7 linked regions of the Neurospora crassa OR74A genome follow. The protein of the gene in region 1 purifies or fractionates together with the protein of each later gene. This does not show direct contact. Links are inferred from orthologs where the notes say so. Each region holds a gene or a part of one and is shown in the gene's direction. Other genes may lie near its edges.

Region 1 (3,991 bases):
GATGAACTCGAATGCCTCCCGGGCTTCCTTGTCGCCTGCGAAGTTGAAGCTAACATATGTAAAATCTCTGAACCGAATACGTATCGAGGAAGGAACGCCACTAGAAGGGGGCGTGGGCCGTAGGGTGCACTGTGAAATAATGTGGAAGGCAAACCACACTTGCTTCACACTCTTTTTCAGACTCGGATCTGCGGCAGTCAAAGACTCGGGGGGAAAGCGGAAGACGAGATGGTAGTCACTGAGCGCAAGGTCGCCGAGCTCCGGCTTTCCGCCTCGCAAGGCATGGATGTTTGCGAAAGTCTGGCATTCGGTTCAGTAAAGAAAACGAGACGTAGTTGGAAAGGTAGATGATGGAGAGCATACGTGCTTGAGGTGAGGCGCCGCCATCGTGATGTTGGGAGGTAATACTAACTACCCCGGCACTATGAGGCGCTGTGCAGCCGAGGTAGGAGACCGGACGTCCGAGACCCAATGTGTCCGGACAGGAGCGCAAGACGTGTTGACAGATGCGGTTGCGGCGAGAGGAACGGGGAGAATAGAATCTGCTTCGCTTAAGATGTATCGTAGTTGTACAATAGTGCCAGACTGCAGGACTGGGAAACAGAAAAATGTACCAATTAGGAACATGTGTCCTGATATAAACGAAAAGGAGGAACTTCGCCGCGCAGTCACTGGTGCCGGTCAACGATAAGTGATTCACGCGGAACTTGTTGGGATTTCAAGAGATTGTCCCCGAGGTCCACGTGGAATCGATTTGGAGGACAGGTATTTAAAGGCGACAGGGACTGGTAACTTTGTAAGCTACAGAACCTCTGCTGCTAATCCTCCTGCCGTCCGAATCCAAGGGTATGCGAATAGTGACTGCGATTTGCGAACAAGCAGAAAGTCAGCATCTGGAGTGCAACGCGCTCTGGAACCGGGGAAGCGACGATTGACGTCGATGGACACCCCACTATCAGCGCCACCCCGAACCCGACTGAGGACGGAACGTTCATGGTGCCTGCCGGTGTCAGAAATTGCCCGAGCCAGCAACGACTGACAATCAAAGGAAGTGAAGTGCACGAGGTGGTCTGGGCGCAAGGCTGGGCCTGGACGGGGACGGGAAGCGCAAGGAAGCACCTCAACCCCACATGTGAGATCTGTACGTATCTCCTTTTTTGGGTTGCGCTTGGCGGCTCCTACCTAGCGTTGGGCGCGCAGACTGGGTGCGGATTGCCAGCCGCTTGCCAGCCGGGATGAGCCGTGGCGGCTGTTAACCCTACTCAGCCAGCCACTCAGAAGCGGCAGAGGGCAGCCCACCAAGGAATTCGCAAAAAAAGTAGCTGTGCCGGTCGAATTTCCCCCCATCTTTTTGAAAAGTCCGGTGAACACCGCGAGAAGGTATCCCACTCCATCCTCCTCAGCAGCACAATTGAAGCCCTCAGGACCTTCATAGCCAAATCGCAAAAATGGCTGTTCCCGGCACCCAGATGTAAGCAACCAGAGCAAACCAAGAGCATGGAAGCCTCCTACATGTCTACTACACGTCTTCACGACTGTCTACACGTCGGTGCGATCTGCTGCTGCTGTGGGGGTGCAAATGCAAAACGAAGGCGTTCAGTCACGAAGCCGGGAGATATGCTGCCCGCTGGTTGCAGCAGATTCAGCCGACGGGGTGGGATTTAGAAAGTGGTGGCTTGGAAAACAACAAAAGCGGCGTTGATGCTGACTGCTTCTCTTTCTGTCTACAGTTCCAAGCGCAGAAAGTTCGTCGCTGATGGCGTTTTCTACGCCGAGCTGAACGAGTTCTTCCAGCGCGAGCTCGCTGAGGAGGGCTACTCCGGTGTCGAGGTCCGCGTTACCCCGACCGTCACCGACATCATCATCCGCGCCACCCACACCCAGGAGGTTCTCGGCGAGCAGGGCCGCCGCATCCGTGAGCTCACCTCGCTCATCCAGAAGCGCTTCAAGTTCCCCGAGAACTCTGTCTCCCTCTACGCCGCCAAGGTCCAGAACCGCGGTCTCTCCGCCGTCGCTCAGTGCGAGTCCCTCCGCTACAAGCTTCTCAACGGTCTTGCCGTCCGTCGTGCCTGCTATGGTGTCCTCCGCTTCATCATGGAGTCCGGTGCCAAGGGTTGCGAGGTCGTCGTTTCCGGCAAGCTCCGCGCTGCTCGCGCCAAGTCCATGAAGTTCACCGATGGCTTCATGATCCACTCCGGTCAGCCCGCTAAGGACTTCATCGACTCTGCCACTCGCCACGTTCTCCTTCGCCAGGGTGTCCTCGGTATCAAGGTCAAGATCATGCGCGGCTCTGACCCCGAGGGCAAGTCCGGCCCCCAGAAGTCTCTCCCTGACGCCGTCACCATCATCGAGCCCAAGGAGGAGCAGCCCGTTACCCAGCCCATCAGCCAGGACTACGGCGCTAAGGCCGCTCAGGTCCAGGCTGCCGCTGAGGCTGCCCGCCAGGAGGAGCAGGCCGGTGAGGAGGAGGCCGCTGCCCCCGCCGCTGAGGAGTAGGATAACCTCAAGGTCGGGTCAAATGAGGTTTTGCCTTCGATCGAGGTGCCTGTGTCTTTCGACGAGCCTGAGGTCGCTCCTGTGGCGGAGTTCAATTTCGGCGCGGACGATACTTCCATTGTCTGGTAAAGGCCGCTGGGTTTGGGCGGGGTCTTTTTTCAATGTGCTTGCAAGTCCAAACAAACACTGGGTTGCGGAAATGGATGGGTTCAATTTGGCGTCAACTATGGTCATAGCACATTTGCATTAAGACTTGCGAAAAGGGGAAATGGCGGACGGATTGTTGCTTGGGATTATAATTGTTTTTTGTAACCCCACGATCAATGCAGCAACGTCGGGAAATTCCTGACTTTCGCCAGGGAAATAAGATACCTGAACAAGCCCTCCTTCCTTGCCTTGTTTTGCGATTGCCAATTGTGCCATATCCTTTTGTGTGATGAAGGAGACTATTAATGGAATATAGGCACCAATCTAAGTGAGGCATGTGAAGAAATTCGTCCGTAGGTTTGTTGATATGATATCATGGCCTAAATCGGGACATGGAATGTAAGCAGGTAAACATCAGCCACTCTCAGCTCAAGTGTCCCGCAAATATCCAACCGTTCAAGATTTCCCGTCTTTGCATAGTAGCTTCACACCGAACATTTGACGAACACTGGAGGACTGATGAATGTTAACATACACTAAATGAGCTCTGTCTTCACTTGCTCCGACGTTGTTTTGAAATACACGGTTACACCGACTTTGGATATTCAAGCTGACAGACTCCTGCTCAATCGTTCAAGACTTAACAAATAGATACTTCGAGACAAGTAATCTGGATCTTGTTCTGGCACCAGTCCCTTGTTTAAAAAGGGAGGAAAAGGATATGGACGTTTGAGGGGAATAATACACAACTTGGAGGTATAACAGTAATGGAATATAGTGTCTAGGGGCAGTTAGGACTCGGAAAAGTTGGGAATATGGGATCCTATGAAGGGGTAACACATCATTAAGGCACCCGCTCGTACTTGGAACCAATAAGAAACAAGGTAGAGATACTTCACACGTTGTACCTAACTCACGGAGAAGAAGAAGAGAGTCAGGACACGCATAACACTTTTCTTGTTGTATTGGTTTCAATCATCCATCTGTCTTGGTCCCCATATATAAATGAATCCCTTGTGAATTCCCTCCCTCCTTCTCCTCCTCCTCACTTCGATCTGTTGTCTATATCTCCGGTCTTTGCTCTGCTTGGTCTGAAAGGTGCTGTGTTGTGTGTATAGATCGACAATCAATTCGCTCCATTCGTTACAGATTTTGGGGGTGCCTCGGGTTCTTCTTCACTTATACGCCCCTCTTTATACATCTTCGTTTACCCTGAAGACTTTCATGGTATACACTCAGATAAATCCTCAACTATCCCTTCAGAAGAGGGAACTCTCCTTGATGCAGACCTCGAGACTGCGGTCTCGGATTAGGCAAGTTCGGTCAAACTTGGTGGTGGGGCCCATAC
Region 2 (4,184 bases), about 960 kb from region 1:
ACACGAAAGACTCGATGTTGGGTGAAAAGCAAGACACGAGAAATGCAGTAGAATCTTGAAAAGGCAGATGAAAAGGAGAGAAAGGAATTGCAGAGCTACACAACAAAGAAGGAAGTCGACTTGCATATTGATCATGATGAAATGGCTCTCCGCGACTTGTTATCCGTACAATAACTGGATTAGTTGATACCGATATCTCAGGTTAACTAACCTACAACAAAGAGACATTTGCTGATGGCTATCTTCCATTCTCGATGCGAGGACAGGACTCTAATGTGGTAAAGGTTATGTATTTTGCAGATGTATGTCCATCTCCGCCTCGAAGGGCCACGAGGAAGTAAACAAGTGTGTTAAAAAGGGGAGCTTCAATTCATGAATTCAACATCCATTGGCAACTGCTTCGACTGGCGAACGGTACTCGTCCTAATATAGTTGCTGTTTGAGCTTCGTCGCCACAGCGTCCACTCTCTGCCATGACTGTCAGATGCAAACCAACGGGTGAGTCCATCCAGAACCACACTTGTGGAAACGCATGCAGAGCCGCTGTGATTTGAGGGTGATGCGGTTCAACAGACACGTAGAACCTATACAACTTCCAACACTGTTCTACATCATGGCATATGGCAGACTTTCCAGAGAAGTCTTGAATGAAAGGAAGTAAGATAGAAGTAGGGGTTGGAAAAAAAAAACAGAAAGAAAAAGAAAAAAAAAGGTGAAAGGTCCACGCTGCATATCAAACTGCTCAAGTGGTCCGTGATGACCTCTCCAATGTGGCCGTGATCAAGCACCTGTTGGCAAGCCGTCAAGCACAGCAACCAAGGTAATACTTCCCCAAGAAAGACATGACGTCCGGTGTCTAAAAGCACGACGGCAATGCGTGCCTTTTTGGCATGAAGTCCGTTGACAGGAAGTCCGGGGTGCTTGAGGCAGGTCCGATCTCATAGAAGGCTGTCACCTCAGCAGGAATGCGTCAACTTGGCATATAAAGCGGCAGCTTCCGTCAGGTGTTTGTGACGGATGTGTTTCCAGTGGTTTGTTTACCTTGGTGACGATGATGTCTATGGTCGTGAGTGGTTGTCGTCGCAGCTGCAAACACTCTGCCAAGACTTGCCGGATTGGGAGCAGAGCTCAAACAGGCAAAGTTACGGCGTGTACGGATCGATACGCACGTCACATTGGTAACAAAGGGCAGGCAGCGTGCAAAGTGGTAGCCCTAACCACCAATAACAGCGGCGCACTGAAATTTCACCAAAAAGCCAAAACGGCAGTCAAAGTTGGAAGCGGGGAACAGCGGCAAAGAGGGCCAGAGCAGGGCCTTGGAGGGGAGATTTGGTGCAGGTGGGCGGGGCACGAGCGTCTCTGTGATCCGTGCCACTGCCAAAACCTGGTCCGAGCTCCCTGTGGCCCGGGAGCGATTTGCCAAAATCTTTTACGACACCACAGCGAGCATCAGACGTCGTTGTCGCTGTCGTCCGCCCCCCCTACCCAACCCCGTCTAGAAGAAGCGCATTGAGTCAGGCCAACGTCCTGTCAAGCGCAAAGATGTCGGTCGCTTCCAAGGTGTGTTTATCTCTCTCCCCGTCAATCTCCGAAATGGCCGGTTTCACGGTCGGCCGAGAGCTGCATGCTGTGCAGCGGATATGGATGACCCCGTGGTTGGACCTCGCCGTGAAATGAAACTGAGAGCTTCATTTTTGTTTCCGAGCGAGTCCGCCAACACCGGCTCCTTGCGACAATTTGGGATCCGAAAGAGGAGGGAGGCTTGGAGAATGGGGATCCAGACGCACAGCGAGCAGCAGCCGGCCATACCGCGAAAATCTAGAGCTCAAGACAGCAAGAAACTAACCGATTGCGATTCTTTTTCTACAGAACCTGTTCGATCTGCTCGGTTGGTTGCCCACCCTCCTGTGAATTACGGAACCCACGCGACGGCACACTCGAAATTGGCAGGGCGAGGAGGAACATTGAACACCGCAATCCAAGGAACCACCAATACTGACGGATCGATTGTTTTCATTCAGGCAACGACGTGGAGGATAACACCGCTCCCGCCGCCCCTGCTAAGATCGTCGAGAAGACCTCGACCCACACCACCAAGCGCAACTCCGATGGCGTCGCTCCCAGCAAGGCCCCCGCTCAGGGCTCTGGCCGTCGCTCTAACTTGACCGGCAACGAGGCCGGTATGTTGATCATCCAACATGCTAACCATGGCTACCCTCTCAACTGACATTTTCGGTCCCAGCTTTCCGCGACCGCAACGCCGGCAGCGACCGCAACCGTGGCAAGCCCACTGAGGAGGGTGCTGCTCGTGGTCCCCGCGGCGGCGCTAACGCCCGCGTCCGCGGTGGTCGCGGTGGCCGTCACCCCCGTAACACCTCGGATGACCGCCACTCTAAGTCCATCCCCTCGTATGTTCCGGTCAAGCAATTTCTAGCCACAGGCACCTCCGTCCACTAACACCCTGACTAGCGGATCCGAGAAGCAGGCTGCCCTTTCCTGGGGCGCCACCGAGGGCCAGGCCGAGCTGAAGGATGAGCAGGCCGCCGAGGAGATCGCCAAGACTGAGCAGAAGGAGGCCACCACCGAGGGTGAGGCCGCCGCTGAGGCTATCCCCGAGGAGGAGGAGGAGAAGCACGTCTCCTACTCTGAGTACCTTGCCCAGCTCGCCGAGAAGAAGGCCGCTCTCGAGGCCGAGGCCGCCCTCAAGGTCCGCAAGGCCAACGAGGGTGTCGTTGAGGACAAGAAGTGGGCCAACGCCAAGCCCCTCAAGAAGGATGAGACCGAGGAGTTCATTGCTGGCTCCGCCGGCAAGAAGCAGCGCGAGCGTGAGCGCAAGGTCAAGCAGGTCCTCGAGATCGACCAGCGTTTCGTCGAGCCCGAGCGTCCCGCTCGTGGTGGTGCCCGCGGTGGCCGCGGTGGTCCCCGTGGTGACGCCGGCCGTGGCCGTGGCGCTCCCCGTGGTGCTGCCCGTGGTGCTGCCCGTGGCGGTGCTCCCCGCGCCGAGAACAAGGCTGCTCCCATCAACCCCAACGATGAGTCTGCCTTCCCCAGCCTCGGCAACTAAATGCCTCTCAATATCGGCATAACGACCATACATCGAAGCCAGACTATTCAGTCACACGGCCCCCCCTTTATTTTCTCTTCGAGGCGGCAATGTCAGAATCAGGATGGCGGCGGGTTGGGATAAAAAAAGCAGCCAGCATGGGGTCGGTGTTCGTCTGTTTGGTTGCATTCACCTTTAGCGGAAAAGTGGTTCATGAACACCGGAACCGTGAAAGAGGTTTTCCTTATCTGTCCACCACTTACCGCGGAATCGAACAAAGTAAAACTGTTCAAGCTCGAAAGTTGAAATTGCGCGCGTTCGTATGACCTGGTTCCTCCCCGTATCTATCCCCTTTCCTTCCATGCATGAACGTTATACCTAGGATATATTTCACTTTTTACCCGGTTCAAACCGCAGACAAAGGATGGGATGGCAACCATCCAGAGGGCAAAAAGACACACACGCTATAGTCTAGGTGGCACTATGACATAGCTCGACCATGGCAAGGTCGTAAGAATGGACATAAGACAGGCTTGTTTTGGATTAACACCCAATATGGCATCTGGCAAAAGGCATCAGGCAGAGCAGCAATATCAAAACAAGTGTTTTGGATTCCTCTGGCAAAGGCACAACAAGCTGACACTGATCCGTGACTTGTACTCAACACTGTGTTGGCTGTTTAAGTGCACTTTTCGATGTCTCACTGGACAAGTGAAGTTCTTGCTGCACCGTGATCTTGAACTGACTGGTCGCCATAGGCACATAATAAGATGGAAAATCACTGACGATGATATTGACACACAAGTACTTGTAGTAGACCTTTTCATTTCCATTTCAAACTCCGAACTCGGCGGTTCTTACTAACCACCCCTTCACTATGACCTAGGTCCAGGTAAACAGACCACTCTTTTGTGTCCCTTTCTTGTCTTGTGCAAAACACCCTCTCCATCACAACCCCATGATTACTTATCCATATCACAGCCGCCATACCATACAAGACATGACCTGATGTACATTTCACTTCCATGACAACACTAGCGATATCTACCTTCAATCTTACAACCTTTCTCTCTCTCCATCCTCTCCAAGTTACATTCTCAACCTCGAGGTTCCCTCCCTCATCCTCATATGCTTCGAAGAT
Region 3 (3,949 bases), on another chromosome or scaffold:
GCCTTGTCGTACCTCTCAAGGGACCCAGGGGTCATTGTGGGGGTGTCGCCGACACTCAGGCTCGTTGACTTTTTGGCTTTCTTGTCATAGTACTTCTTTGCTATTGCGCTCAGCTCGGCGCTATATCGCTTCTCGGCGGCGCTCCTTTCACGGAAGAAAGCCTGCACATCGTCAAAGAAGGCAATGTTGTTGGCCACATAGACATTGGCCGGTTTAAAGCCATCCTGCATGCGGGCATGTTAGTCCAAGGCCACCAGCACATGTTCAAGCCTCTGAGTAGGCCAGGAGAGATGAAGACAACCTTGAGCACGGTGCCAAAGGATGGCGCGATTTCGCCCTCGGCCATAGTTTGTTGGAGGAGCTTCTTTTAATATTGAGAGTTGTCGTCGTGGATAACCATGCAAACCAGTAGTCGGGTATACATGCAATCTAGACTTCGGGAGAGAATGAGTGGGACTGCTCCGTCGGCTGTCGTCGTGTCTGAATCGATGATGAATCGTGCTGTGCTGGTCCTGGGTATGTACAAGTAGCGGCAGGAACCCGTTGGGTCTTTGGAGGAATGGGCGGGACTGGCGGAGCGTTTGAGTGTTACTCCAAGCAGAGATAGAAGAAGCACGGCAGATACAGCGTTAAAAGAACAAGCAACTAAGTAGTAGAGCAAGAAAGCAAGAGACGGTAGGAGGTACCCCTCCAACAGCTGAAGGTGTGCTATGTAATCGTTCGGCTGGTTATCCCGGTCCGTACACCGTAGCCCGAGCAGCCGGCAAGACCTGAGTTGGGTACCTACCTAGAGGTAGGTAGTAATGATAACTGGGGTGCCGGTGGCTAACCTCGAGGTACTCAATTCAAGAAGGCCCCAGCTGTGCCGTCGGACCTGCGGCTTGGTCGGTGCTAGTGCGGTCTAGGCAGTATGCGTTAACTGCATGAAGATTGGTTCCGAAGAAGCATTCGTTCGTTACGTAACTCTAGGGATATGTTAGAGGTAAGAATTGGAATTCAAAAGACGGAAAGAGAAACCTCGTTTGGCCAAAGAAACAACTGAACTAAACACCTATGGACTTAAAGCCTCCTTAAAGAGACAGCGGGCGGGACCCCGGCCACCTGCACTAAGCCACCCGCTGCTGGCTCGTGCTTTGACCAGGCATTCTGGCCTCCGGCTTCTGCCAGGGCATCAAGCGTTAATTCCAGGGCAGGTACAGTACCAACTACACTACGGCACTACTTCTACACTAGAGGTAGAACAGCAAGTAGGTACGTATACTGCGTACACTAGTGTAGAGGAAGGTGCAGATGCCCCACTATCACTCTGGTTTGATGGCGTCGCGACTTCCTCTCAAAGTCAGCCCTGCCGCTGCCAGAATCTCTTTCTGCCAGCTTCCTTTTCCTTTCGCATTCCTTCTCCCGCCCACAAACCACTGCTGGCAGTTGCTTTGTGGTTACCAACAGCTCAAGATTTCCATCGGATCTCTTAAAAGAACATTTTGTTTACTCCAACAATAACTCCCTCCAAGGTAAGCTTGTCAGCTTGCGCCTCCCCGTCCTTGCGGCCTGGGCCTGACGCGTTGAATTGGGACGCGGGGCATCAAGACCTGACGAAGCGCAGCTTGAAACTTGACTCACCCACGTCTCGGCTTCTTGCTGTAACCGGAATATCCAAGGGGGGGCGAAAAAAATATAACGTATCGTACTGACCGTGCGATTTTTGATTCTTGCTAGCAGTCATCCTAATTACGACGTCATAATGGCTGATCTCGCCAGCCGCATCACCAAGCCCGACGAGGCTCCGGCTGCCGCCCCCGAGGCTGCGCCCGTGTCTGCCCCTGCGTCCGAAGAGCCCAAGGCCCCCGAGAACGAGACCTCCATCGAGGAGAGCCAGAGCAACCTTGTCAAGAACGAGTACGAAGTCGAGATTAAGTTGAGCGATCTTCAGAATGACACCGAAAGTCCTCTCTACTCCGTCAGCTCGTTCGATGAGTTGGGTCTCCCCGAGGCTGTCAACCGCGGTCTGCTCGCCATCAACTTCAAGAAACCTTCCAAGGTCCAGGAGAAGTGCCTTCCTCTCATGCTCTCCGACCCTCCCCGCAACATGATTGCCCAGTCTCAATCCGGTACTGGAAAGACTGCCGCTTTCGTCCTTACCGTTCTCTCCCGCATCGACCTGTCCAAGCCCCACCAGCCTCAGGCCCTTCTGCTTGCTCCCAGCAGAGAGCTTGCCCGCCAGATCCAGACCGTTGTCCAGACCATCGGTCAGTTCTGCGAGAATTTGATTGTCGAGGCTGCTATTCCCGGTGCCATCTCGCGCGAGACGGGTGTTAGAGGCAGCGTCGTCGTGGGAACTCCGGGAACTGTCATGGACCTTGTCAAGCGCAGGCAGTTCGATATCTCGCAGTTGAAGGTTCTTGTTATTGACGAGGCCGACAACATGCTTGACCAGCAGGGTCTGGGTGACCAGTGTGTCCGCGTCAAGAAGTAAGTTCATCTTTGGGCACTAGTGTTATGCGACCTTTACTGACATTAAGTAGCATGCTCCCCAAGACCATTCAGATCCTCCTTTTCTCTGCGACGTTCCCAGACAAAGTTTTGAGATTCGCCGAGCGCTTCGCACCCAACGCCAACCAGATGAAGCTCAAGCATAAGGAGCTTACGGTTAAAGGTATTTCGCAGATGTTCATGGACTGTCCTACCGAGAAGGACAAGTACGACATTCTTTGCAAGCTGTATGGTCTCATGACCATTGGTTCTTCCGTCATCTTCGTCCGGGTATGTTTTTTCCCCTCGAATACTGTTGTAGACATTTGCTAACGTGCTTTCTTCCAGACGAGAGAGACAGCCAACGAGATCCAGAAGCGCATGGAAGCAGATGGTCACAAAGTTTCGGCCCTTCACGGCGCCTACGAAGGCCAAAGCCGTGATGTTCTTCTCGATGAATTCCGCTCCGGACGTTCCAAGGTCCTCATCACCACCAACGTTCTGGCACGTGGTATTGATGTTTCCAGTGTGTCCATGGTCATTAACTACGACATTCCGATGAAGGGACCTGGCGAAAGGGAGCCGGACGCAGAGACATACCTTCACCGTATTGGTCGTACCGGTCGTTTCGGTCGTGTTGGTGTCTCGATCAGCTTTGTCCACGACCGTAGGAGCTTCGAAGCGCTCTCCCAGATCGCTCAGTTCTACGGAATCGACCTTATCCAGCTGAATCCCAACGACCTGGATGATACCGAGAGGAAGGTGCAAGAAGTTATCAAGTCGAGCAGGGCCCAAGCGGAGTACGTTCCCAGCGCTACTGATTCGGCCGTTTAGGTAGTTGGCCGATCAATGAGTGTTGAGGGGGAGTCGTCGTCGTTGAAGTCGTTGAAATCGTTCTTCTCTTCGGCGCCGCCGCCGCCGGAGACTCAGCAGTTTAGCGGATGGTGGTGAGCTAATACACAAGGAGTTTATCAACTGAACCATCTAGCGTAGGCGAGGGATCATGTCTTTTCATCGTTGCTGCGACATCAAGATGTTGGGAAGCCCAGAAGGAAAGGGTATGTGGGAGTGAACTCATGATGCGCATATTCCGTCATTCAAAATGGGAATCGGGAGTTTAGATCAAAGAGATACCAACAAGGGGCGAAAGATAAATAACTTTTGCAGTCAGCAAGATTGCTCAAGACGCGTTCGATACTACCCGACGTTGATACACCGGTAGACGCCAGGGTATCACGAAAATGTCAAGTGCATTGTGTCTCGTATGGAAGGGGGGGCAAAGAACGCTTATCTCAACCGCCGTGCTATACATTTATGCCCACCTCACGACGAAAGTCACAACACGTTGGGCTCAGCATCGCCCTCGGTACCATAACTTTACTTCGTGGTCCGAGTCCAGCTGGATAGTGGCGTAGTTCCCCTCCCTCTTTTTGTCTCCAGTCGTTGGGAAGCTGTTTACTCAAGACTGGTAGCATGTGGA
Region 4 (3,805 bases), on another chromosome or scaffold:
ACAAGAGCATAATGTCCCTCTTCGTCACCGGTATCGAAGATGATCTGCCTGAGTTCAAGATTCGCGACTTCTTCAAGGCGTTCGGAAAGATCAAGTCGCTGGTGGTGTCGCACATGTCGCATGCCGCGTTCGTCAACTACGAGACTCGGGAGGCTGCTGAGAAGGCTTCAGCGGAGTGCAAAGGCCGTGCTGTCATTGCCGGATGCCCCTTGAGAGTTAGATGGAGCGTGCCCAAGGCGTTGGGAACAATGAACAAGGAACAGCGTTCGGAGATGCTACGAGATGGTCGGTCGGCCTTTGGCAGTGGTCAAAAGACAGGTGGCCAAAAGGCGATCGGGGGACAAAATGCCCAGGGTGGCGCATCAGGAGCGCAGAAAGACGACGCATCTAACCTCACTATCGCAGCGCCGCCCGGTGCGGCAGACGTACAGTACGCCAGTCTCTCTGGCAACTAAGCGGGGTCAGAAAAGTGCTTATTAATCATGGTATTGCAAGGCGTTCGGAGGCTATTATGATTTGGGGTTTGGGCTCAGGGTATCTCGGATACGTTGCATTTCCTGATATCGCATGGTCTCTTCCACTAGTTTTCTACATTGAGGGGTATCATTGATGATTTATACATATACACGGGCAACGGCACTGTCCTGTTGTCCCATTACGTTCTCACGAACTTGAGCTTCCAAAATCCTTGTGTTATCCAACCATGGTTTTGTATTCACTTATGCCGAGCAGCACTTCTGCTCGCCGCCGATCTTGATGGTCTGGTTGCCTAGCTTGATGGTATCGTTGTCGCCGCGCTCGGTGTCCTGGTGAATCCGTAGCTCTGCAACGAACATGGAGTCAGCAACCATATTCTGTATATGACTCGAGCACCCCTAGACTTCGCTCACTGTAGGTCTCGCCGTCCTTACGGCCCTGGACGACATTGGATCTCAAAAAGCTGGCAACTTCCTCGGCATGCGCAATCGCAGGCGCAATCGTAGGATCGTTGGCGGGAACGTTCTGGTTCTCGCGGAAACCACGGCGGATGGACTCGTAGGCGGCCGTAAGGGTGCGGTTATCGCCTAAGATAGTGGCACATGCCGGTCAGTCCGGGGAGCTACATGGGCCGGCGGATGCACCAAGGAGACTGCAGGGGAACATCGTACCATCAAAGGCAACTCTCGCGGCGCGCATGAGGTGACGGTAGGCTTGAAGGGCAGACATGTTGACAATACTGCTGGTAAACGAGGGTCATGCAAGGGAATGCAGGTTCTAAAGAAAGTAAATAGTATTGTATCGCCAACTTCCGGTCTAACAAAAAGATTCAAGGCTTGTCTGGAAACAGTTGCAGTGACGGCAATGCGACCTCCAAAAATGTCGCCCAGGACCGGGTAGGCTTGCCGGCCGGAGTGGACTTGGAGTTGCGATGATTGTGATTGGCGGTCGATAAGCAAGATGTGGGGAGCTTAGCCATCGAAAAATTTCCAGAATTCCGTCGGTAAAAAGACAACAGAGGGGCCCCGCCTATACAAGCTTCTGGTTCCTGCGCCTGTCACTGTCTCCCAACCCAACCATCACCATCCTCATCATCGGCCGCAAAAATGACTACTGTGGTTCCCCTTCCTCTCCCCACCCTCCCTGAGGGCTGGACCGCCGAGAAGGACTTCAAGCCCATCGGCAAGATTGCCCAGAACGAGGCCACCCAGCGCACCATCGAGCCCGTCGGCCCTCACTTCCTCGCCCACGCCCGCCGCGCCCGCCACAAGCGCACCTTCTCCGAGGATGACCGTATTCAGGCCCAGGAGCGTGCCAAGAACGTCGAGGAGGACAATGAGAGCGACCTCAGCGAGCCCGAGGACCCCATGATGCTCTCTCGCGACGCCAAGGACTGGAAGGTTAGTGCTCAGCGTGTAATGGTGTATCACGCCACGCAAGACCTTGACAGCTAACCTGATTGCCCCGTATACAGCAACAAGATCACTACAAGGTTCTCGGCCTTTCCAAGTACCGCTGGAGGGCCACCGAGGAGCAGATCAAGCGCGCTCACCGCAAGAAGGTCCTCAAGCACCACCCCGATAAGAAGGCCGCCGCTGGCCGCACCGAGGACGACAACTTCTTCAAGTGCATCCAGAAGGCCACCGAGGTCCTCCTCGACCCCATCAAGCGCCGCCAGTTCGATTCTGTTGATGAGGAAGCCGATGTCGAACCCCCCACCAAGAAGCAGCTCCAAAAGGGCAACTTCTACAAGCTCTGGGGCAACGTCTTCAAGGCTGAGGGCCGTTTCAGCAACACCCAGCCCGTCCCCAGCTTCGGCAACGAGAACTCTACCCGCGAAGAGGTCGAGAACTTCTACAACTTCTTCTACAACTTCGACAGCTGGAGGTCGTTCGAGTACCTCGATGAGGATGTTCCCGATGACAGCGAGTCCCGCGACCAGAGACGCCACACCGAGCGCAAGAACCTCAACACCCGCAAGAAGAGAAAGGCTGAGGACAATGCTCGTCTCCGCAAGCTGCTCGATGACTGCTCGGCCGCCGATGAGCGTATCAAGAAGTTCCGCCAGGAGGCCAACGCCGCCAAGAACAAGAAGAGGCTCGAGAAGGAGGCTGCCGAGAAGAAGGCCGCTGAGGAGGCTGCTGCCAAGAAGGCTGCTGAGGAGGCTGCCGCTAAGGAGGCCGAGGAGAAGGCCAAGGCGGACCGTGAGGCAAGCAAGAAGGCCAAGGAGGCTGCTAAGAACGCTGTTAAGAAGAACAAGCGTGTCCTCCGTGGCTCCGTCAAGGATGCCAACTACTTCGTTGAGGGCGATGCTTCTGTTGCCACCATCGATGCCGTTCTCGGTGACGTTGAGCTTATCCAGGCCAAGATCGATCCCGATGAGATCGCTGCCCTCGCTGGCAAGCTCAACAACCTCAAGGTCGCTGACGAGATCAAGGCTGTCTGGAACGAGGAGGCCGCCCGCCTTGTCGGTGCCGGCAAGATCAACGCCGGTGACCTCAAGGCTCTTTCTGCTTAAATGATCTCTTACCGAGTCATGAGATAATAGTGAATGATCATGTTGGCGTTTGTCTATCACTACTAGAATCTAGACCTGGAGAAAAACAGAGTTGTTGACTGATACCATTGGAGATGGAGTATACTTTTTTCCTCGCCAGCCAACTTCTGCTTCGACGTGTGATGTCGTATCTCTGGTTGTCACTGCTACAGAGATCCCTACTTGCTGTGATGTTGAAAGTGGGTCCAAACTCTGATGATGAAGCGCATGAGTTGGCCGGTAGGCTCGATCATCTCTTCAACGATTCGGATAAATCCTGAGAAACAATACCTACTGCTAAGAATGACAGATCTACCCCTATCCGGCTACAATCATAATTCCATACGCAGGTACGCATAACAATGCTTTACTGCTCGCTCAGTCTTGGTCCTTTTTAGTACGGTAAAGCTTCATGCACAAGCACGCTTGTACATGCCATCTTGAGCGGCAACTGTAAAAGCATCATCACATGCGCATGTGGCAGATGCAACTAAGTACATAATTCACGATTACATGCGTGTTTCGCCGACGACGCAGGTACATTTCTTATCAGATGGAAAGAACAAGAAGGAAAGCTCACAAGGCACATATAAGTCACTGCTAAGCAAGGGAACAAGTCCAGGGCCCTTCAAACCGTTGATCGCAAAGCTGAGGTACAGCCACCTTGAACTCCTAGGTGTACTGTTCCCGGAAAGTCTGAGCCATTCGATTTCCGGAAATTTTCGATCAGATGTCAAGCTTGAACTCACTCTCAGTCCATGTACGTAGGTACTGTAGTACGCCAAAACCTGC
Region 5 (4,144 bases), on another chromosome or scaffold:
TTCTAGGTGTGTCAGGATGTTGCTGCTGTCGGGATCGCGCTGCTTGTCTGGAGGCAATAGCTGAAGATCGGTAAGCATTTCCAATGCCTCATCCTCGGGATAAACTTCGCCGCCCATGATAGGAAGTAAAATGTAGGGTAAGATATTGACGTCATCCTCATCCAAAAACGCCGGGTGCGAAGGAATGTCAAAAGCAGCGTTCTTGATAATGCTCGCCACTCCCTTTCGCCTGATATCGGACTTGTGTTCGGTAAAGACCTTGATCTTGTTGATTGGAATAACATCGTCGTAGTCCTGTCTGTTGACAAAGTAGTGCCGGATCTCTTCATGTTTCGAAAGGTCGGCAAAGACGTAGGAGAGGTAGTCGTAATCGGCGTGCTTGTTGTAAGTCCCGTCGGCGCCCTTGACGAAGAGGTCCATTAGTTGGTTAATGACCCTATCGTCGGACTTGAGCTTCTCTGGAGCGGGCTGTTTCCGGTCTAGAAGACTTTTGAGTCCATCCCACTTGGTCAAGTTTGCCAGCAACATAGCCATAAGATTGGCGTTAACCTCCTCGGGCTCCTATAGGAACGGGATCGAAGCGGTTAGTCCTTGCTGCGCACGCACCGTAGGAGCTCAGAATGGATACACATACGACAAGAAGCCCGAGGAGGATTCCAAGGAAGCGATCATCGGTCGCGACGTATTCCAGCACATCCTTCTCGGCAGTCAAGTTGATCAAGCATGTTAGGGCGTGCTCGGCGATTTTCTGCACATGGTACCGACGTCTTAGCTGAAGCTGCTTGGGCGCAAACAAGACAAGTCTGTTGGGCCTACCGGGTGGTCGCGGATCAAGAACTTGAGATGCTTGATGGGGGTGAGCTCGTCGGTCTTGAAGAGGGCGGGCTGAGACGCTGAGAAGGGCACCAGGTTCTCTGTCGCGAGAAGGCGGATGTTGGCGTTCGGCGAGGCAATGAAGCCCACGAGCTTCAGGCGATTATAGCGATTAGTTGTCTGTCCACTGACATTGACACTGCACTGGTTCTGGCAGAATTACCTCTTCAAGTTCGGTCGGCATGTTATCAATGGTAGCTGGATGTATGGTTGTATTGGACTTGCTATAAGCTCGTAACCGTGGCGAGCGAGGCTATGATGTCGCGACTTCCCTTGCTCTTATTCATGCAGTGGGCCAAGCTGCAAAAACTGTAAACACAGGGAACAAAATTCCAGGAATTTGCAACCGAAGAGGGGCACAGTGACGAAAATGCGGGGCAATAAAATGTTTATCGCTGCTCCGCCGGGCGCGTCCAAGCTAGACGATAAGCGATAAGAGGTATTGTACCGCTTATCATTTTCACCGCCCTGGCATCAGAAAATAAAGTGTGCCCACACAGCAAAGAAGTGACCAACCACAAGCGTAGCGCAAGCCTTTCAAGTGCCCAGACTTCTCCACGGCGGGAACAAATTGTCCAAGGGTCGCCGAAAAAAATATCCCCAATTGCCGTGTGCAGCCAAGTCGACATCGCAAAGAGAGGGGACAACCAGGAGAGCTCCGTATCATCAACTCTTCCCCCGATTGCACAACCCTACCGCCATTCAAGATGCCCAAGACAACAGCGGCGACGTCGAAGAGGCGCCACAACCCCCTCGAGGCCGACCTCGTTTCTACCGGCGTCCTTAAGAACAACTCCGGCAAAAAGAGCAAGAACACTCGCGCCGCCAACGACGAAGATGAGCAAAAGTATGTCGACGCCAAGGCTTCGCGCAACATTTTGGCTATGAGCCGTAGCCTCATCGAGGAGGAGGAGAACCTCCGGACAACACAAAACGCAGCCTCCGGATCTGCTCCTTCGGCGTTCGAGTTCGATCCATCGAGATTCGACCGCAACGATGACGAAGACGACAAGTTTGAGAACGACGAGGCCTGGGGCGAGGAAGAGGAGGAGGAGGTAGAGGAAATCGAAGTCGACGCCACCGATCTCGAGACATTCAACCAGTTTATCACACCCACAATGAACGAGGACCCGCTCCTAACACACGGATGGGATGGAAAGCCAGAAGGGGCAGAAGAGCAGGGTCAGAGCGTGAACCTGGCGGACCTTATTCTTGCCAAGATCGCAGAGAAGGAAGCCGGCGGCCCCCAAGGCGGGTACCGCGACGAGCCTGGCCCAATTGATGAGGATTACGAGATCCCCCCAAAGGTGATGGAAGTGTTTGAGAAGTAGGCTGGCCGTTATTTCTGTTACCCTCTTGGCAGACTACTGACAGACTCCTTCTCGCAGAATTGGCATGATTCTTTCTCGCTACAAATCTGGGCCGCTTCCCAAGCCTTTCAAGGTCCTTCCTCAGATCCCCCACTGGGAGGACATCTTGCCCATTACACAACCCGAGTCCTGGACTCCCAATGCCTGGTATGGTTGCTTCTTCCTGTTTTCGGGAGCCAGAGAAACGCTGCTGACATTTGCGATTGTTAGCTACGCGGCCACCAGGATATTTGCGTCCGCCAAGGAGGCTGTTCTTCAACGGTTTATGGAGATGGTGATCTTAGAACGCGTCCGCGAGGACATTCACGAGACCAAGAAGCTCAATGTCCATCTTTTCAACTCCCTAAAAAAGGCCCTCTACAAGCCTGGTGGTTTCTTCAAAGGTGTGTTATTTACTGCCTACGCTTAGTCAGGTTTGCTCAAAAGGGACAACCCAGCTAACCGTTGGCAGGCTTCTTGTTTCCTTTGGCGGCTTCCGGAACGTGCTCGCTGCGTGAGGCGCAGATCGTAGCCGGTGTTTTGACCCGGGTCACCATTCCGGCTGTTCATTCCGGTATGGCCATTAAGGGCTTGTGCGAAATTTCTTCTGCGCAGGCTTCTCAGCGCCTCGACTGCGTTAGCGCTACGAATTTCCTCCTCAAGACTCTGATTGAGAAACGTCACGCCTTGCGTAAGTCCAATTCCTAGCGTGCCAATGATTGTATTCTCTGACTTTGTAATACAGCCTTCCAAGCGCTCGATGCCCTCGTCTTCCACTTTCTTCGGTATCCCGCTTTCGCCACCGGCGGGCATATGGCACCCAACGCTTTACCAGTCATCTTCCATCAGTGCATGCTCTCATTTGCACAGAGATACAAGACGAACAGTGAGTTTGCTTCTTCCGTCGCTGTTTCACTATGCGTCCCTATTATTTTTGAGTACTAACCGCGGTCTTTGTGTAGTTACTGAGGACCAGCGAGAGGCTCTCCTGGATCTTCTCCTAACTCACGGCCATGACAAGATTTCGCCCGAGATCAGGCGAGAACTTCTCGCAGGTCGCGGAGGTGGTGTCCCTGTCGCGCAACCCGGATTTGATGGCGATGACACGATGCTGGACGCTTGAAGAAACATCGGTGATCCGGTAATGACTTATAGACGATGAACCCTTGGTATGCAACGAGGACATGTGGCTCATTTTTACCTGGTACGCGCATAGAGATGGGAGTCGTGTTGTTTAGTGACCTTGGTGGCTTGGGGCAGTCCTTAGACATTGACCCCTTTGATAATACTATGTCACGCCTCGACAGTGGCTACTACTCATCACGCCGCTTGAAGAGGAAGTGGTCATGCCAAGTCAGTCACCATGTACTACCCTTTGTATCTTAGTGGTGCTGACCAACCAGCAACATAATTGTTGACGACCTGTAATGCTTTAGTGCACGAAATTATAAATTCAAGATACCCGGTACAGCAACAGGAATTGTCGAGGAGCCTTGGAATAATCATTTTCAGTTATGTGAAGGAAGCTGCCTTTTGACTTCTTTGTTGCGTCAATCTGGCTTGGAATGCCCTTCTCCCATTTTTCCAAGTCCAAGGCAACCGCGATCCTCTGCCACGTTGTCGGAATCCTGAGAGAACAGTGTAAAGGGAAAGAAGGCAATGTAGCTCTCGCCTACTTCGATATCTCGTGTATCTGATGGCATCATCCCGTATTAGGTGCTTTTACCATACGAGTTTCTAGTGTTCTCTTCCTAACACCCGGTCAACCCGAACATTCTAAGCACTCCGCCCCTCTCGTTTCCCTATTTATTCTTGAGATTGCTTTCTTACCCCGAGACACCAAGTTCTACTCAGTATTTCCGCAAGATCAGGATTTTCGGCGCTGCTTTCTGGCGTTTCGCCTAAGAATCCCGACACCACCT
Region 6 (4,013 bases), on another chromosome or scaffold:
CTTGGCCGACTGCCTGCGCGCCAACAAGTCCACCTCTGCTTGGGGTCTTGAGGCCCGTGTGCCCTTCCTCGACAAGGAGTTCCTCGAGGTTGCTCTCAACATCGATCCCCAGGAGAAGATGATCACCAAGGAGAAGCTCGAGAAGTACATCCTCCGCAAGGCCTTCGACACCAAGGACCAGCCCGAGGGTGCTTACCTCCCTGACAACATCCTCTACCGCCAGAAGGAGCAGTTCTCCGACGGTGTCGGCTACGGATGGATCGACGCTCTCAAGGACCAGGCCGAGCTCCAAGTCACTGACGAGATGATGAAGAACCCCAAGCCCGAGTGGGGTGACGACATCCCCGATACCAAGGAGGCTTACTGGTACCGCTGCATGTTCGACGAGCACTTCCCCCCTTCGTGCGCGTCTACCGTCATGAGGTGGACTCCCAAGTGGGTCAAGCAGACCGACCCCAGTGGCAGAGCCATCTCCATTCACCAAGCCAAGTATGACCACGTGGACGAGTAAAGCAAAACAAGAAAATAATAAAACCAAAAAGGGAAACCATGGATAAAGAAAATGGGGACTGGAATGTTTAAAAGCTTGGCATCGGGATTACAATGCAGGGCGTTATATGGGGTCACAATAAACGGATCGCGTATACCTATACTAGCCATTAACCCAGCATAGAGATGAAGACAAAAAGTGATTCAAAACTCTATGTAGCAATTGGCATGTTTGTGAACAATGGTGACCGTTTGGATGGGACTGACTTCGTATTGAGCAAGGTTCGGGTGCAATACACGAACGACAAGTGAAACAACCTAAGCAAGACCTATTCCAAGCAACAGACGGTAATGAAGATGTGAGTACGAGAAAAGGGGATGACAATTATGCGTATGCGATAGATAAAAGATGCTTGCATTATGTGGGTGCTATGAGATGCGGGCCTTTTCCGGACGACACAAATGCACTTGCGGTCTCGAGATGAAAGGGCTGACTGCAGATGATATGGTTTGCCTCAGCTTCAGTCTGTGCCCTGATTGTTTACCTTTGGAGAAGGCGTGAAAGGGGGCCATGACGCTGAAAGGGGTTAGGGTTAATGGTGTGCATGAACGGGCTGGTTTCGTCAATGGCGTGGGGTCGCGATTGGTGCTGCTTCAAGCTTGTCATGGCGAGCCTACTAGCGCTGCCGAGCTGCCAAATGCACACGGCGAGAAAGACCAATCACGACTCCGTCTAAGAAATTTATCGGGACATTGCACCTGGTCTTGGGGTGTCTCTGGTGTTCCCAACATTTCCATTTCCACTTTTCGGCTGGAGCTTCCCAGACCCGACGCCGACTTCCCAACCCAGTCGCCAGGCTCGCCAGAACCCACCAGAGAGAGGCCCCCCCGCCGTCAGTCGCAGCCGACCCGACTGAGCTTGCTGCTCCCCGCCGCGCGCAACATAACCGCAAGCCTTTTCTCTCCCGACTCCCGTCTCCAGCTCGCGTTCTTGAACTCCGCAACCTCACTTTCTCCATTCACCATCATACCCGTGTCGCCCTCACACAACATCTTTCACAATGGCTGTTCCCGCTTTCTCTGACATCGCCAAGTCGGCCAACGACGTAAGCAAAAATCACGCCTCCCTGTGCTCCGCACCCGAGCTATGACGGCGACCTGTTCGATCGATGTTATCGAGAGACGTGTTTGTCTGTTTGGCTGGAGAAAGCTGTACAAGCTCCAAAACTGAAGCGGCATTTCCCCATACCTACCTACACATCCCCCTCTCGCGATAGCTCGTCGATGCCAATGTCCACGAAGCAACATCGTCATCCTCCTCCACCCCCACCATGATTGAATGATTGGGCCCTGGTCCCCATGCACGCACTATAATGTGTCGCTAACCATGGACTTCTTTGCGCGCAATATAGCTCCTCAACAAGGACTTCTACCACCTCGCTGCCGGCACCATCGAGGTCAAGTCCAACACCCCCAACAATGTCGCCTTCAAGGTTACCGGCAAGTCCACACACGACAAGGTCACCAGCGGTGCTGTACGTTACCTCCTCCCTCCCTTGGGGCTCTCGGCGCAATGCCGCGACAGCATCATACCACCTTGCTGTTGCGCCAAACGCCCTCCCTTCTCTCATGTTGCCAACGGACCAAGCTGACCTCTTTTGCGTGACTGATAGCTCGAGGGCAAATTCACCGACAAGCCCAATGGTACATATCACTCTTCTCTTACATCTCTGTCTTCTTCTTCTGGTCCCCCTTTTGGTCCCCTTCCTCCCGGCGCACCACTACCTCCTGGCTTTTGCATTGTTCACAGACGCGTCCACAAAGACGAAAAGGCCAGGAATTGTCATCCCGACGGAAGTTTAGCCGCCCACGACAATGGTACTGCCAACGTGAAACAACCAAAGCAGAGGCCTTCAGCGCGTGTTCGGCCGCTGGTAGACTTGAATTTCTCTCTAGGCGGCGTCATCGGTCCTCGAGTTCGGGGACGACCCCTCTACTTCAGCTTTCTCCATTATCCGTATGCGAACCTCACGACAATGCTAATGTACTGGCGAACAACAGGCTTGACCGTCACCCAGACCTGGAACACTGCCAACGCCCTTGAGACCAAGGTCGAGATGGCCGACAACCTCGCCAAGGGTCTCAAGGCTGAGGGTATCTTCTCTTTCCTCCCCGCCACCAACGCTCGCGGCGCCAAGTTCAACCTCCACTTCAAGCAGAGCAACTTCCACGGCCGTGCTTTCTTCGACCTCCTCAAGGGCCCCACCGCCAACATTGACGCCATTGTCGGCCACGAGGGTTTCCTCGCTGGTGCCTCCGCTGGCTACGATGTCCAGAAGGCTGCCATCACTGGTTACAGCGCCGCTGTCGGCTACCACGCCCCTACCTACAGCGCTGCCATCACCGCTACTGACAACCTGAGCGTCTTCTCCGCTTCTTACTACCACAAGGTCAACTCCCAGGTTGAGGCCGGCTCCAAGGCCACCTGGAACTCCAAGACCGGTAACACCGTCGGCCTCGAGGTCGCCACCAAGTACCGCATTGACCCCGTCTCTTTCGTCAAGGTATGTTATTGCTGTCATTCCGTTTATGGAACTTCTGTATGCTGACCTGATGTTTCTTTCCAACCGTATAGGGCAAGATCAACGACCGTGGTGTCGCTGCCATTGCCTACAATGTTCTCCTCCGTGAGGGCGTCACCCTCGGTGTTGGTGCCTCTTTCGATACCCAGAAGCTTGACCAGGCCACCCACAAGGTCGGCACCAGCTTCACCTTCGAGTCTTAGAGTAATCGCAGGACACATGTGAAGAAGCAGCGGCGTAATAGTATTCCTTCGAACAAATTCTCAACTGGAATAGATAACCCCCCTTTGCTGGCATCGTGGAGCCTCCCCTTCCAGTAGTGATATTTATTTCTTTTATGAAGATAGTGAAGATGACGAACGTTGCGCCCTGCTTCGGGTGGCTGACTGATAGGATGAGTTTGTGTATAACTGGTTTGGGCTTTTGTGTAACGAAGAGGGCCAAAAGTTCTTGATAGAGTTGTAGCGTCTTTGATGGACATGGTTACTGTAATTAGGCTGGAGACGGAAACCAAGCGCGATCTTTACACTACTTAGATTATAAATACCCATAGCGATTTCAAACACGCTCATTCAGTACTTACTTTTCAAACACCGTTGAAACTCCAAAGGGCTGTGCAATGAAGTGAAGCATCAGCATGTAATTGTTGGTGGCATTCTTTGCTGCAAGCAAGGCTTAAACCCAGCCAGTTAACTAAAGCTGGAGGGATAGAGCTTATTCAACGTGTTGTCCGCAAATCGATTCCCTACACCTCGACTAGAGGAGATACGATACTAGCTATATATAGATAGGTACCTTTAGTACGGCGAACACCCAGCATGCAAAGATGCGTATTGAATTGGAACAGATCTTCTCGGCACACAGTTCAAGCTTCATCAACTTCTCATCATCTTCTCAAGAGCTGAATTATGAATGTAGTCTGTTGTCACACAAAGCTCTTCT
Region 7 (3,533 bases), on another chromosome or scaffold:
TTCATAACCCTACTAAGTTCATCTTCCTCGAGAATACACTTAATGCAACATCAACATCCCCCCATTAGCACAAACAACTTGTCCCGTACACCACCCCGCCTCCTCACCACACAACATGCCCACCACCCCCGCAATCTCCCCCGTCTTCGCCAGCCTGCCATGCCACTGCTTCGCCTCCTCCACGGCCTCCTTGCCATGCAGATCCTCCCGCGCCTTCATCAGCGGCGTGTGCTTGATCCACCCCTCGATGCCCTCCAGAAACTCCTCCGAGTTGGATGCATACATGGGTCCCTCGACCGGGCCTGGGTTGACAGCGTTGACTGTACAGTTCTCAGCCAGCTCGCGGCTCCAGGTACGGGTCATGGCTTCGATGGCCGCCTTGGAGCCGCCGTAGACGGACTGGCCTATGAAGCCAGTGGAGGAGGAGACGGAGGAGATATTGACGATGCGGCCAGAGCGGTCCTTGGGGAGGTAAGGCTGGGCAGTCTGGACGAGCAGCAAGGGGCCTAGGACATTGACACGGTAGGTTTCCGTAAAGTCGTCCACCTTGACGTTGGGAATCAGGTCGTTGCGGGCGATGCCGGCGTTGTTGATGATGATGTCGATCTGGAGGGAGCCATCGGCCTTGGAGAAGGCGGACGTGGCGGCGGTGATGATGGCTTGGGGGCCTTCGGGAGTGCCAATGTCGGCTTGGACGGGCACGGAGGAGATGGAGTAGGTCTTGTTGAGACGGTCGGACAGCTCGGAGGCTAGGGAGGCGGAGGAGGGGGTGGTGTAGTTGAGGATGAGGTTGCAGCCTTTGGAGGCGAGGTTCTCGGCGATGGCGGCGCCGATGCCTGGAGATTCTTAGTGTCTTGAATGTGAATTCAAGAAGCATAAGAGTTACTAACCTCTAGAAGAGCCGGAAACAATGGCAAGCTTGCCCTTGAGTGGTTGGGACATTGTAAGTGGTGTTGTCGTTCTGGTATGAGTGATCTATGGTGGGGTAGCTCGAGGCTGGGTATCAAGAGGGTATCACAGCAATCACACACACAAGAACAGAAGAGACGACAATGAAAGTCAGAGTCAATTGAGCATAGGGGAGCGGAAAGCTCTATATACATTCACCGCCCGTCACGAGAACATTGTCCAACTTCCTCATTATCGGCTAGTATTACTGTCATGAATTCAGAGAAGCTTTCAGACGAAGCTCCCCCGCATCACATTGCATCCACGGCGCGCTTGGCCCGGTGTTGACTGCCCCTAGCTCCCGGGCTTGTCTGCCCCGCGATTTGTGCGGCTATAGCAGCCGTCCCACCATCATCCAACCGTGAAGCTGTGCCGCCAGGGGTCAGGCCAGTCTGGATTCCACACGGGAAGTGCCCCACATTGGAGTGCGGATTGTGGATCCAGAGCCTCCCACCACCGTAGCGCAGCGTCAAGCAGTCTCCAATTCAACATTGACAAGTTGTGAACTGCGACCGCAACACCGAACCACCGATCCCTGACATAGGCGACTCGCTTCTTGTAAGTTCGACCCCCGTTGAAGACTGCTCCGTATCAGCTTGGTACTATCCGTTGCTGGGGATACCTACCCTAATACCCTGCCGTCGAGATAGCTGTTACTAACCAGTCCAGCTGCTTCTCCCAGAGCCCACCACCACCATCCCAAAGTTGAAGCTATCACCAAGTCGTCAACCCTCCCACTCTCTAAGTCACCACCAACACCACCATCCTTCCAGACCGAACCCCCCAATCCCAACAGCCACAATGGATATTCGCGTCCTCCGCCCCTCGGACATCCCTCTGATCCAGCACGCCAACATCGAGAACCTGCCCGAGAACTACTTCCTCAAGTACTACCTGTACCACGCGCTCTCATGGCCTCAGCTGTCGTATGTCGCCGTCGACGTGAGCCGCCCGGCCAAGAGCGCCTACGACTACCCCAAGATCGTCGGCTACGTCCTGGCCAAGATGGAGGAGGAGCCGACGGACGGAGTGCAGCACGGTCACATTACTAGCTTGAGCGTGATGCGCACCCATAGGCGACTCGGCATTGCTGAGAAGCTGATGAGGCAGTCTCGTACGTCGTTTCCCCCCCTTCTCCCCCCTTTCTCTCCTTATCTTCCTTTCTCTCCTTATCTTCCTTTCCTTTCTTTCTTTCTTCCTTTTTTTTCTCTCTCCTCGCTCCGCTCGACCTCTACCCTCCACACAAAAGCACCACCAACTAACCTATCATCTCACTGACGCGGTGTGAAAAAACAGAACAAGCAATGGTCGAGACCTTCGGCGCCCACTACGTCTCTCTGCACGTGCGCGTCTCCAACGCCGCCGCCATCCACCTGTACCGCGACACTTTGGGCTTCAAGACGGAGAAGACGGAAGCCAAGTACTACGCCGACGGCGAGGACGCCTATTGCATGAAGCTCGACCTGGCGCCCATCCGCGAGGCGCTTTTGGCCGAGCAGCTGGACGAGAAGGACGCCAAACCAAAAATCGAGGAAGGAAAGGGATCGGAAGGGGTGGATGAGGGTGAGGCGGTTGGTGATGTCGGTCGTGATCCTGAAGCAGACTCTAAGAAAGAGGATAAGACGGTCAAGGTCAAGGTCGGTAGGGGGTTAGGTGTGGGTGAGTTGGTGGAGAGGGATGAGAGTAAACACTAGAGATATAACTACTGCTGCTGTTACTGTGACGGTGTGCTTGTAAAGAGGGGAAGAAGAAGAAGAAGAAGAGCGTTGATATTAGACTTGGCATTACTGGCTGGGGTTTGGGAAAAGGAAAAAAGAAAGATTCGCTGTTTTTTTATTTACAGAAGGAGACGGGCGTCTAGAACTAAACCCTCCCCGAGCGATCACTTCGAAAATGGTGGGATGAATGCATACCCGGCGTAGCGAATTGGATGCAAAATAGGTGAATAGTCATGTAGTCAATTTGAGAGTAGTTGTTCAAATTGGTTCTGTAAATACCCATTGTACGGATTAGAAGAAAAGAAAAGAAAAGAAAAAAGGCTGGCCTATTGGAGGGAAAGGGGCAAAGTAAACAATGAACAAGTAGAAGGGCACAGCCAGAACAGAATTGGCAACATCACCATCAATTTTACAATGGAGCACTTCCAATGTGTCTACTAGTCCGAGCAGTAACGAATAAGCATAGCTTTTGTCTACTCATTGTGCCTATCGTTGCGAAATTCGCGTAATCACTTCAAGAAACTGGCAAACTTGGCAAACATACTACATTGTAGATTCTGTGTCGCAACAGAGCCCCCAAAGCCAACTGAATCTTCTCTTCACCACCAAATACTTTCCAGTTCGCCCAGCTTCCAAGTGACAAGACACCCCCGTCTCTAATCTAAACCTCAACCAATTCCCCCTCCTCCGTGCCATCCCTCGTCTTCCTCACTTCCGTCAGCTTCTCCCCACCACTCTTCTTCCCCTTCGAATCCTTCGGCGGCACAAACTCTCCATCCTTCAACGTCCACCCCTCCCTCTTCATTCTCGCCCACGTATGCTGGATCTTGAACCTGACCAAATCTCCCGCCGCCCTTGCGTCCTCCG

What was found.
Region 2: the proteins of crp-10 (region 1) and NCU00225 purify together in Saccharomyces cerevisiae (affinity purification with mass spectrometry; 3 studies listed by BioGRID). This does not show direct contact. The link is inferred for Neurospora crassa OR74A from reciprocal best matches to the Saccharomyces cerevisiae genes RPS3 and STM1.
Region 3: the proteins of crp-10 (region 1) and NCU01160 purify together in Saccharomyces cerevisiae (affinity purification with western blotting; 3 studies listed by BioGRID, with this or other methods). This does not show direct contact. The link is inferred for Neurospora crassa OR74A from reciprocal best matches to the Saccharomyces cerevisiae genes RPS3 and DBP5.
Region 4: the proteins of crp-10 (region 1) and NCU03009 purify together in Saccharomyces cerevisiae (affinity purification with mass spectrometry; 3 studies listed by BioGRID). This does not show direct contact. The link is inferred for Neurospora crassa OR74A from reciprocal best matches to the Saccharomyces cerevisiae genes RPS3 and ZUO1.
Region 5: the proteins of crp-10 (region 1) and NCU08323 purify together in Saccharomyces cerevisiae (affinity purification with mass spectrometry; 9 studies listed by BioGRID, with this or other methods). This does not show direct contact. The link is inferred for Neurospora crassa OR74A from reciprocal best matches to the Saccharomyces cerevisiae genes RPS3 and ENP1.
Region 6: the proteins of crp-10 (region 1) and por purify together in Saccharomyces cerevisiae (affinity purification with mass spectrometry; 3 studies listed by BioGRID, with this or other methods). This does not show direct contact. The link is inferred for Neurospora crassa OR74A from reciprocal best matches to the Saccharomyces cerevisiae genes RPS3 and POR1.
Region 7: the proteins of crp-10 (region 1) and NCU08944 purify together in Saccharomyces cerevisiae (affinity purification with mass spectrometry; 3 studies listed by BioGRID, with this or other methods). This does not show direct contact. The link is inferred for Neurospora crassa OR74A from reciprocal best matches to the Saccharomyces cerevisiae genes RPS3 and ARD1.

What each region holds. Positions count from the first base shown.
Region 1 is NC_026503.1:4,035,196-4,039,186, forward strand, and holds crp-10 (40S ribosomal protein S3), read left to right. Parts: upstream 1-1,288; 5' UTR 1,289-1,448; coding exon 1,449-1,471; intron 1,472-1,730; coding exon 1,731-2,496; 3' UTR 2,497-3,491; downstream 3,492-3,991. Other genes in the region: NCU11185 (protein phosphatase), read right to left, coding at 1-300, 364-387. UniProt on the Saccharomyces cerevisiae protein: Component of the ribosome, a large ribonucleoprotein complex responsible for the synthesis of proteins in the cell.
Region 2 is NC_026503.1:3,075,185-3,079,368, forward strand, and holds NCU00225 (hypothetical protein), read left to right. Parts: upstream 1-1,384; 5' UTR 1,385-1,542; coding exon 1,543-1,560; intron 1,561-1,869; coding exon 1,870-1,888; intron 1,889-2,021; coding exon 2,022-2,180; intron 2,181-2,242; coding exon 2,243-2,408; intron 2,409-2,469; coding exon 2,470-3,064; 3' UTR 3,065-3,844; downstream 3,845-4,184. UniProt on the Saccharomyces cerevisiae protein: Ribosome preservation factor that protect a small pool of nontranslating, vacant ribosomes in cells under nutrient starvation conditions.
Region 3 is NC_026505.1:3,084,549-3,088,497, reverse strand, and holds the start of NCU01160 (ATP-dependent RNA helicase dbp-5), read left to right. Parts: upstream 1-1,149; 5' UTR 1,150-1,511; intron 1,512-1,716; 5' UTR 1,717-1,741; coding exon 1,742-2,469; intron 2,470-2,522; coding exon 2,523-2,760; intron 2,761-2,817; coding exon 2,818-3,303; 3' UTR 3,304-3,949. Other genes in the region: NCU01161 (actin polymerization protein Bzz1), read right to left, coding at 13-224, 302-346. UniProt on the Saccharomyces cerevisiae protein: ATP-dependent RNA helicase associated with the nuclear pore complex and essential for mRNA export from the nucleus. May participate in a terminal step of mRNA export through the removal of proteins that accompany mRNA through the nucleopore complex.
Region 4 is NC_026501.1:8,457,541-8,461,345, reverse strand, and holds NCU03009 (zuotin), read left to right. Parts: upstream 1-1,486; 5' UTR 1,487-1,583; coding exon 1,584-1,877; intron 1,878-1,951; coding exon 1,952-2,995; 3' UTR 2,996-3,305; downstream 3,306-3,805. Other genes in the region: NCU03007 (pre-mRNA-splicing factor slt-11), read left to right, coding at 1-455; NCU03008 (hypothetical protein), read right to left, coding at 720-823, 891-1,064, 1,149-1,206. UniProt on the Saccharomyces cerevisiae protein: Component of the ribosome-associated complex (RAC), a heterodimeric chaperone complex involved in regulation of accurate translation termination and in folding or maintaining nascent polypeptides in a folding-competent state.
Region 5 is NC_026504.1:2,401,756-2,405,899, forward strand, and holds NCU08323 (bystin), read left to right. Parts: upstream 1-1,416; 5' UTR 1,417-1,580; coding exon 1,581-2,200; intron 2,201-2,261; coding exon 2,262-2,390; intron 2,391-2,453; coding exon 2,454-2,626; intron 2,627-2,694; coding exon 2,695-2,913; intron 2,914-2,967; coding exon 2,968-3,108; intron 3,109-3,184; coding exon 3,185-3,345; 3' UTR 3,346-3,644; downstream 3,645-4,144. Other genes in the region: NCU08324 (DNA-binding protein HGH1), read right to left, coding at 1-561, 635-748, 817-966, 1,037-1,057; NCU16789 (hypothetical protein), read left to right, coding at 3,788-3,863. UniProt on the Saccharomyces cerevisiae protein: Required for normal export of the pre-40S particles from the nucleus to the cytoplasm.
Region 6 is NC_026505.1:5,561,133-5,565,145, forward strand, and holds por (outer mitochondrial membrane protein porin), read left to right. Parts: upstream 1-1,213; 5' UTR 1,214-1,550; coding exon 1,551-1,595; intron 1,596-1,901; coding exon 1,902-2,024; intron 2,025-2,162; coding exon 2,163-2,193; intron 2,194-2,550; coding exon 2,551-3,053; intron 3,054-3,124; coding exon 3,125-3,274; 3' UTR 3,275-3,664; downstream 3,665-4,013. Other genes in the region: NCU04303 (asparagine synthetase 2), read left to right, coding at 1-511. UniProt on the Saccharomyces cerevisiae protein: Non-selective voltage-gated ion channel that mediates the transport of anions and cations through the mitochondrion outer membrane.
Region 7 is NC_026505.1:5,781,090-5,784,622, forward strand, and holds NCU08944 (N-acetyltransferase complex ARD1 subunit), read left to right. Parts: upstream 1-1,414; 5' UTR 1,415-1,506; intron 1,507-1,617; exon of another isoform or gene 1,618-1,630; 5' UTR 1,631-1,749; coding exon 1,750-2,062; intron 2,063-2,244; coding exon 2,245-2,642; 3' UTR 2,643-3,033; downstream 3,034-3,533. Other genes in the region: NCU08943 (3-oxoacyl-(acyl-carrier-protein) reductase), read right to left, coding at 40-836, 891-942; NCU08945 (RNA exonuclease 3), read right to left, coding at 3,328-3,533. UniProt on the Saccharomyces cerevisiae protein: Catalytic component of the NatA N-terminal acetyltransferase, which catalyzes acetylation of proteins beginning with Met-Ser, Met-Gly and Met-Ala.